2 linked regions of the Caenorhabditis elegans genome follow. The protein of the gene in region 1 purifies or fractionates together with the protein of each later gene. This does not show direct contact. Each region holds a gene or a part of one and is shown in the gene's direction. Other genes may lie near its edges. The genes, in order: nmrk-1 and glel-1.

Region 1 (4,603 bases):
AAACATTTTTGGCGCTATTTCAGATTATGTTTTTTTTTTCATCTTCAGTTTTGTATTTACTATTTCCTCCGAAACATACTTTTTTAAAAGAAAAAGTTTGATTAAAACAATTTTCAGCCAAAACAATGTCAGATGACGGTAGCGACACCTCATTTGAAGAACCACACGGTGATTTCGACTACACTTTGCTTTTCGAGAAGTTCAACAAAGAAGTACCCAAAATGGAAGAAGTCATGAAAGCCGCAAAAAAGTTTGGAGCTAGTCATCGCCACCTAATCAATAAATTCATCTTGGAACCATCGATGAGCGCTAAGAAGATGAACCTGATGTTCGCCAAGCATTTGACCACTGCTATCTGGAAAAGTCTGTAATTTTAAGAAGGGAAATAATATTGGAATAAACAATTTGTTTGCAGGACATCCAGATACTGTAATGCAAATTCAGACAAATCGAGAGGAAGCACGTCAACTTTCGAAATTGATTGTGAAAACTATGAATGACGATGAAGGAAAAGGGGTGAGCAATTTTTATGGGGAAACAGATATTAAAGTTGAAATTCTAGCCAAAACCGTTCCGGCCGTGGCGATTCGTAATTTCTACGGATGAAAAATCTCCAACGGAGTTTGTCACAATGACAGGATGCGGAAGAAATTCTTCAGTTATTAGTGAAGCCAGCGATTTGACGTAAGAATTTTTTGAATATAAAGTTTCCAATTGAAAGTTGCAGAAAAGTCGAGCGAGCTCTTCTTCTCGTTATTCTCGAAGAAATGATTTCCTCAGATGGAACCGTTCAAATGGATTGGGTTCATTCTCAAATTCGGCATGAACCATGCAAAATGCCTGGCCCTAAATGCGACATTTTCATGGCAAAAATGATGAGACAAAGGTATTTTTTAATGGTAATAAGAATTCAATAATAGTTATCAGTGCATTTTGCATTTCAGACCGACGAAAACGAAGTTGCAGAGATCACACCACGCATTCTAGTCGAACTGGAGCCCTGGCTTCGTGCCAAGTTTACAGGAGACCTCAAAACTTGTGAACTGTGCAGAAAAATCATTTCCCGATCGGTTTACACTGCTGAATGTCAGAAATGTCATGCGTTGTGTCATTTTAATTGCTTCAAAAAGTAGGTTGTTTGCCGGGAAAAGCAAAAAAAACAATGGATTTCAGTGCAACGATAATTTCTCACCAAGACAACGTTGAATGTCAGAAATGCAATCAAAATCTGTCTTTGAATGAGGTTCTCAAGCAAATTGATACCAAGAAGGCCACAGGTGTTCCACGATCGAGAGACACCGTGGCTAGAAGCCCTTCACCAGATTCAGATGTTCCGAAAGCTCCTTCAAGGACACAAAGAGCGAAATCTAAATCGAAAACGCCGGCTCCAGTTGATTCTGACGATGATATGACCATAACTCCTAGGCCGACGAGAGGGAAGCGGAACCAGCGAGTTCCAGACAGTGACAGTGAATAAAGCAGAGGGATTTCTATTTAAAAAATTCGGCTGTGTACTCTTTTTGGACTATTTTTTTGGATTTTGTTTTTTATTTTCTGCCAAACGATGTTTTGAAATACAGACATTTTTTTCAGTTAAAGCTTTCCCTTTTCTATCGTTTTTTGTAGACTGGTTTTTATTCCTATTTCTCTGCATTTTAATCCGAATCCATCCCTCTTCACTTTCCTACCTTCCCACACACGTGTCAAATACCTCACCTTTTCCCTCCGGTTCACTGACTTTTCCCACCCGCGATTTTCATCCCATTTTTCATGCATACATCTTCAATGAAACATTTTTTAGAATGTAATTTTCCCGATATAACCACGTTTTAAATCTGAAATTGCTGGTTTTGACCTGAAAATCTGAAAGTTTTAATCTCCTCTTTCCTCTGCTTATCATTGTGTTTTCTACCGGGCCCGTCACACGAGAATGCAAGAGATAAATTCATCGATTTTTTTCTGATAATTCAATTGATTTTATTGTTCGAATTGATTGCATTTTTCTAGCCGCTTGCTTTTTTCTGCTTCAATTTTTGGAAGACTTTTGAATTTTACAGATGACCTCAACAAAAGCCTATGTTTTGGCTTTGGCCGGTTGCACAAATTCCGGGAAATCCACGTTAGCAAAGGAATTTCAACGATTTGTAAGTTGAAACAAAGAAGTCGGAACAATGTTAGCTTTCTCGTAAGACGCAGTTTATATGCAATTCATCGTGCTTCACACTTTACATCAAAATTTGAGACTCTGTGAGGCTGTCCAACAACGATTAATATATTGTATTTTCAGTTTGGTGCCGGCGAGACTACAATAATAAATCAAGACGAATTTTACAAAACTGAAAACGAGGTTGGTTTAGAAAATCCGAAAAAAAGCCATCACAAACAAAACACAGAATTAACTTTATTTCCGTACAGAGAAAGAGTGGGCTCGACTCGCCTTTTTATGAGTACTGTAGTTTTAAACTTTTCTCTAGGAAATTTTAATCGATTTTGTAGTTTGTCGTTTAAGCTTTGTTTTGTAACAAACAACTAAAATAAAAAATTGAAAACAAATACATTTTAGAAAATTGCAATTAATTGTGAGAAAAACTATGAAAAATCAATGAAAATTACAAGTTTTTAATTACAGTACTCTTTAAAGGCGCACATCCGTTTGTATTGAACGAAAATTGTCTAGTCGAGACCGGGTACCGTGTTTTCAGCGGAAAAATCTCAACATTTCGCGTCTGGGGTTTCAGAAACTTTTTTCAAAAAAAAAAAACGTTATTTCAGGTTGAAAAAATTTACCACCCGGACGCTGAGCATCTCACCGATGAGGGATATTATTGGAGTTTTGACGAAAAAGAAGCGATAAATATAGATCAGTTTCGACAACGGATTCTCAATGAATCGAAAGTTTATAAAAATGTGATAATCGACGGGAATATGATTACCGAAATGGACGAAATCGTGGATCTGTGTGATCGGATAGTTGTGATGACACTGGATTTTGTAAGATTCTTTCGATTAATATTATTAAAATTTCTAACTTTTTCAGAAAACCTGCAAACGAAGACGCGAAGCTCGAACAGATTATGTGCCTGCAGACACACCTGGATATTTTGTCAACGTCGCTTTTCCTGCTTATGTTAGACATTTAGAAAGGGCGAGGCAAAGAAGTATGAGTCTGATTCCAATTTCCAATTAAACATTTTTTGTTTAAGGTCGCACAGATTCCCGATTAACATTCATCGATGTCTCGGAGTCCAAATTTGATGACAAGAACAAGTCGATAGTTAACTTTAGACAACAAATCCTTGATGATCATATAAAACTGACTGATGAAGTGATAGATGTGAAGGTTGTGGATCAGCTTGTTAGTCAGTATGTTTTAATCTTTTCAAACTAACAACAATAACCTCTCCTATTTCAGCCCTTCCTGTGGAGCAATATCCACCTTTAACGGTGTGACACGTGATAACCATGGAGGTCGTGACGTCAGCAACCTTTCCTACGATTGTCACGACTTGATGGCATACAAGAAGCTACGTGGAATCTGTGCAGAAATTCGAGCGGAATATCCGGATGTTAAGAAAATCGCGATTTTTCATCGTCTAGGAAAAGTAGACATCGGAGAGTCATCTGTGATAATTTCCACGTCTTCACCACATCGGAAGACTGCAATTCAAGCCACTGAAAAATGTATTGATTTATTGAAGGAGCATGCACCAATCTTTAAATACGAAGAATACTCGAATGGAGAAGTGGACGGAGTTTGGAAATCAAATATCGAAGATTCAAAACAATGATTTAATCTGAAGATGTTTTTTATAATTTTTATGGATATGAGCTTATTTGTGATATGTACATTGTACATTTTTGAATAGATGAACTTGCTAGCTAGAATTTTAGAGAATAAATGTTTTCTTTTTCTCCTTCGCCTCATAACTGCACTTCTTTTCAAAGAGAACCTGACATGAATGGTGTCACCGGTAGCGTGTGTGTTTTGTGTGCAGCGGGTCGCTGGTTCGACCCCCAGCCGTCGATGACGACCAAGAGTTATCCCTGTCTGAATGATTGTGAGGACAAAAGACTATGGTAACACTCCGAGACTAGTTTTTCATTTTATTCTATAAAATTTTGTTTGAAAATCATTTATTGCATTAATACATGGCTCCCGTAGATACAACCCATTTGAATCATCGTATGCTATTTCTTAAAGCATCAATTCAAGTCAACTTGCTGCTCGTATTCTTCCGAATTGAAAGTGAAGACTATTTCTGAAAATAATTTTTAAAATTGGAATATTTTGGAAAAGTGTACCATAAGAAAAAATATGCAAAAGAACTTTGGTAGATATAACAATTGAAATAATTATACCAAGAAAATCCAATAATTCAGTGTTTATCGCCAATTCCCACATCCATAAGAAGCTGACTGATAACATCATTCGGGTGATATGAAGTGATAGAAGAAGGAATTCACAGATAAACTGAAACATTTAGAATAAAAATCTCAAGATATTCTATAATTTCTCGAACAGGACAATTTTCAGAATCAACATAAGGTTCGTGGTCCTAAAACGTTGCTAACTACCGTAACCGCGATTTTTTTTAACGGTAAA
Region 2 (5,286 bases), on another chromosome or scaffold:
TTTATGAATTTTGCAACAAAAAAAAACGCGCCGCACAGAAAAAGAGGCGGAGCCTAATTTTGCAACCCCGCGGCAGGGTTTTTTCCGGATTACAAAAAAACAATTTTTCAAAAAAATTAATTATAGTGTTAGCGGTTTTATGAATTTTTATGTGAATTTCGCAACAAAAAAAACCGCGCCGCACAGAAAAAAAGGCGGAACTTAGTTTTGCAACCCTGCGGCACGGTTTTTTTGGCTTTTTAAAATACAATTTTCCAAAAATTCAATTTATTGAAAATTTTAGAATTTTTTATATGTTTTTACCAGCTGTGGACCGCACCTCCGGCGCGGTCCCTGACTTCTGGGTCTAAAACTAATTTTTTCTGAAACTACCATAACCCTACAGTATTCCTACCGTACCACTATTGTACCACTACAGTACCCCGACTATATCCCTACACTAACCTCAACTAACTATCCCTTCAGCAGCCAGAACTTCTGAGACTACAAAGACTACATAGACTACAAACTATGGGCACACAGAATAAGCGCTTTATATATAGTAAATGATTCGATTTTCACCTTTTATTGCATATTTTGGTCGATTATCTCGCATTTTTCGTTGATTTAGGCGCATTTTAAGCCGATAGCCACTCAATTTGATGCCTATCGAAAGGTAAAATTTATCTAAAACAGCGGAAAAACGACCAAAAACTGGGAAATTGCCAAAAATTGGAATTTTTTATCGAAAATAAGGTGATTTGTACTGTTTTTCTGTCAATTTTTCATCATTTTCTTCATTTTTTTCCCAAAAATTCCGTCGAAAACTAACATATCCGCTCCACCAGCGCCCTTGCACTTTTTAGTTTCATCCACGGGTAGCGGAAAAATCAGGGAAATTAGCGGAGTATCATAGTCAGCTGAAAATCGTCCAATTGAGCGTAAAAGTCCCAGAGCATAGCACATAAGCTTAATCACATGCGAATAATTGTGCTCCAGGCTCTCCTGATCCTCCAAAACATCGTAAATTGATGAAACTGCACAGGCGAGAGCATCCGCTTGAGCTGAAACGATTTGTTGGCGGAATCGTGGAAGATGGGCGGCCAAGTCGGATAGTGAAGTGTTGAAGCAGAACGAGAATTGCTCTTGGATAGGGATTTCTGCAACAAAAAAAAATTTTTTTCAAAATTTTCAAAAAATTTTCAAAAAAATTTTTTTTTTCCAAAAACCCACTATCAGATTTGTTCAAAAGCCCATCATCAATCCATTTCATGTGCGGAAGAGCAATTAGAGCACGGAGCAGCATTGGAACAAGCTCATCGGCGTGCTGAAATTAGGAAAAATTTAATTTTTTAGCCGTTTTTTTCAGTTTTTTTTCCGCAAACCTGTCCATGGCTATGCAATAAATAATTTGCGATCGCTATTAGTGAACATCTGACATTATGGCTTAACGGCTGAGCTTCGAATTGCTCTTCCTTGTCGTCCAGCGCGAGAAGATTGAAAATTTGCGATAATTTCGTGTTTTCATTCTGAAAAAACTCAATTTTTATTGAATTTCTAGCCCAAAAACTCACTTGAGCAATGCAAATCGCCAGACATTGCTTATTTGTGAACACAAAATCCTCGATATCTCGCATTTTTTCATGGAAAATCGAGAAAAAATAGAAAAAATCGGTCTTTTCAGTCCATTTATCGGAAAACCGGAGGCAGAGAGAGAGTGTGGAGAACGAGGAGAGCGCAGAGAAAAACAGGGTTGTGGTTTCTAGGCCAGGGGTTTTGTAATACTCTCGGATAAGTTGGAATTCAATTTTTAGAATCGGTTTTCTTTAGTTTTTCGCTAAAATTCTCCCATTTTTGCACTTTTTTTTTTGCATTTAACATTAAAAAATCATTGTATTGGTGTAAAATCTACACAAATTCGCCAAATTCTGACTAATTTGGCTGAAAATCATCATTGAAAATATAAAATAATATAAAATTTATTTTTATTTTCCAGCCATGCCGACGTTCAAGCTTGAAGAAATGGATGATGATGTCCCATACGGTGGAGACAACGATATGTACTTCCGACAGTGGCGTTTGCCGTCGATGAAGCCGATTTTAGATGAAAAGTGGGCCTTTTCATCGAAAAAACGTCTGAAAACAAGGGGTTTTTTTGCAGATTGGACCGAGATTTTCAGGATTCGGTAACGAGAAAAGAGGATTATATGCGAGAAAAAGCTATTCGAAGACAAAAGCACAGTGAGAAGTTCGATAAGAAGTTTGAGGACCTTGTTAAGGCGATGAGCGAGGTTGACGTCGGCTCGAAGAAGGAAAATCGTCCATTTTTGAGAAAACCCACAGATTTGGAGCTGAAAAAAGCACGGGAAGATTTTGAAAAAGAGTTCGCTTCTCCGAGTTCCACAGCTCGAATGGTTCCGTTCACAGCGAGGTAAATCTGGCCGAATTACGGATCATCTGGCACCGTGCCAACCCCGCTGTTTTCTCGAAGAAAAACGTGACACACAACGATGCTCCGATGTTACGCGTGTTGTTTAGCATGAACGGCGGCGTTTTTTTTGCGTTGGCAAGGATATTATTCGAGAAAAAACGAGAAATTTTTCGAATTTTTAAATTTGATTATAATAAAAATTTCTCGAAGAAAATTTCAAAGAAACACCGTTTTTCTTTGAGGAAAATCGAAAATCGAAAATCGAAAAAATTTGAAAATCATTCAGCTTTCAAAAAAATGTTTTAAACTACATCACTTTTTAAAGGCGCACATACATTTTTTGAATTTTGGCAAAAATTAAAAATTTGTCGTGTCGAGACCCCCATGAAATTTCGCACAGTTGAAAAACGAAAAATTTCAATTTTCAAAAATTCGCTTAATATTTCGGCCATTATTCACTTTTTTTTAGGAGGCATTTTCTGTTTCTTTATTTTTTTTCAGGGGTGGGCGGCAAACGGCAAATTGCCGGAATTGAAAATTTCCGGCAAAACGGCGAATTGCCGAAATTTAAAATTTCCGGCAAAAAGGCAAATTGCCGAACTTTAAAACTTCCGGCAAAAAGGCATATTGAAAATTTCCGGCTAATCGGCAAATTGCCAGAATTGAAAATTTTTCGGCAAAACGGAAATTGCCGGAATAGAAAATTTCCGGCAAATCTGCAAATTGCCAGAATTGAAAATTTCCGGCTAATCGGCAAATTGCCTGATTTAAAATTTCCGGCTAATCGGCAAATTGCCAGAATTGAAAATTTTTCGGCAAAACGGAAATTGCCGGAATTGAAAATTTCCGGCAAATTGCCAGAATTTAAAATTTCCGGCAAAACGGCAAATTGCCAGAATTCAAAATTTCCGGCAAATCGGAAAACCGGCAAATTGAAAATTTCCGGCAAAACGGCATTTTGCCGATTTGCCGAACGGCAATTGCCGCCCACTTCGATGTTTTTTCTCATTAAAATAGACAAAATTAGATTAGAAATCGAATTTTATGTATAAATCATTCAGCTTTCAAAAAAAGTTTGAAACTACAGTACTCTTTAAAGGCGCACATACATTTTTTGAATTTTGGCAAAAATTACAAATTTGTCGTGTCGAGACTCCTAATCGAAAATTTACAAAGTTTTTCAGAGGAAATTCGAAAAATTTCCTGGAAAATTTTTAAAAAATCGGTCAGAAAATTATCCATAAAATTCGATTTTTCATCGAATTTTGTTTATATTGATGAAAAAAAATTTTAATTTTTTAAATTTTTTTTTCGGTGCCAACCCCGAAATCGTAGATCCGAAACCTCAAATCTAATTTTTTTTTTCGAAAAAATTTAATAAATCCTATTTTTGCAGAGTCCGCCCACGCCAAAATCCGATTTTCGGCGAAAACATGGCAAGCCTGAAGTCGATAGTTCTTCCTCCTCCTGCTCCAACAAAGCCAGCTTCAACTCCAAAAGATGCTCACGAGACAGTCTTCTACCCGCAAACTCATGATTCATTCAATTTAGATCACTACAACGGGTCTCGACCATCGTTCGCATTTGCCGGAATCCATGGAGCCACGTCGACGCCAGTTTCGAAGCAACCGCCGTTCCCGTTGTTCTCTGAACAAATCACTGAGGAATGCGGTGGCGGTGGCGGCGGCGGCGGCGATGATAGTGTTTTTGAGAGGACTGACTTTGTGACGGCTATGGAATCGCCTGTTCTTCAGAATGACGTCATGAAAAAGGCGCTGGAAGCTCAAAAGGCAAAGGAAATGGAGGAAAAACGAGAAAAAGCGGCTCCGAAATTCGATTTTTCCGCTGGAATCGGCGGCTCAATTCAAGATTCCAAAGCAAAAGCTCAAAAGGGAAACGAAGCCTTCAGAGAAACAGATCTACAGAAAGCAGTACTCGGAGAATATAATGCAGCTCAGAACTATAGGGAAAATTCTCCAAAATCGTCTGATCCGGCGGCTCCGAAATTTGGCTTTTTCGCAGACATCGGCGGCTCAATTCAAGATCCCAAAGCTTCTGAAAAATCAGAAAATATGGGAAAATTTGGCTCAGAAACTTCTCCAAAATCACCAGCAGCTGAAGCCACACGTTTGGCTCCAAATTTCGATTTTTCCGCAGGATCCGGCTCCGGCTCAATTCATGATTCCAAAGCTTCTCCTTCTGAAAAATCGGGACGTTTTGGTGCAACAACGACAGGAAATTCACAGAAATCATCGATTTTCGGTGGGAACTTGCCTCCAAATGAGCCTGGGTTTTTTGGTGTGAAACCTCCTGGAAATGCACCCAAACAAGCAGAAATCCCCGCTAAAACTACAGGAAAACCGTCGATTTTTGGAGCAAACTCTCCTCAAACCAGTGGATTTTTCGGTGTGAAACCTACTGAAAATGCCCCGGAAAATGCTGAAATTCCAGCTAAAACTACTGGAAAATCGCCGATTTTTGGAGCAAAATTACCTCCAAATGAGCAAAAGCTGTCGACGATTTTTGGAGGAAGCTCTCCCAAAACCACTGGATTTTTACGTGTGAAGCCTGCGGAAAATGCCCCGGAAAATGCAGAAATCCCCGCTAAAACCACTGGAAAACCGCCGATTTTTGATGAAAAGCCGCCGGAAAAAGCTCAAAAACCATCAGTCCGGCCATATATTCTATTCAAAAACTACATTGGCCTTCTGAAGACACTCGCCGACGATAAGAAATCATTCGAATCTAGCGCCGATCCACATTTCCGAGCTCTTTTGAAGAGGACCATCACTGAAAAGGTGCCATAACGATTTGATCTACAAAAAATGCGGGAATTTTTTCCCCCGCGAAAAATGTGACGTCAGGGGCGGGTCTGC

The links.
Region 2: the proteins of nmrk-1 (region 1) and glel-1 fractionate together in Caenorhabditis elegans (co-fractionation; one large-scale study listed by BioGRID). This does not show direct contact.

What each region holds. Positions count from the first base shown.
Region 1 is NC_003279.8:6,105,170-6,109,772, reverse strand, and holds nmrk-1 (Molybdopterin synthase catalytic subunit), read left to right. Parts: upstream 1-2,057; coding exon 2,058-2,144; intron 2,145-2,287; coding exon 2,288-2,347; intron 2,348-2,772; coding exon 2,773-2,991; intron 2,992-3,037; coding exon 3,038-3,158; intron 3,159-3,203; coding exon 3,204-3,363; intron 3,364-3,412; coding exon 3,413-3,788; 3' UTR 3,789-3,910; downstream 3,911-4,603. Other genes in the region: nse-1 (Phorbol-ester/DAG-type domain-containing protein), read left to right, coding at 126-363, 416-516, 563-684, 728-899, 945-1,129, 1,174-1,477; T27A3.8 (NADH dehydrogenase subunit 4L), read right to left, coding at 4,204-4,259, 4,303-4,471.
Region 2 is NC_003281.10:12,272,065-12,277,350, forward strand, and holds the start of glel-1 (RanBD1 domain-containing protein), read left to right. Parts: upstream 1-1,975; 5' UTR 1,976-1,977; coding exon 1,978-2,090; intron 2,091-2,140; coding exon 2,141-2,410; intron 2,411-3,806; coding exon 3,807-5,208; intron 5,209-5,286. Other genes in the region: pifk-1A (1-phosphatidylinositol 4-kinase), read right to left, coding at 812-1,139, 1,213-1,306, 1,365-1,508, 1,554-1,616.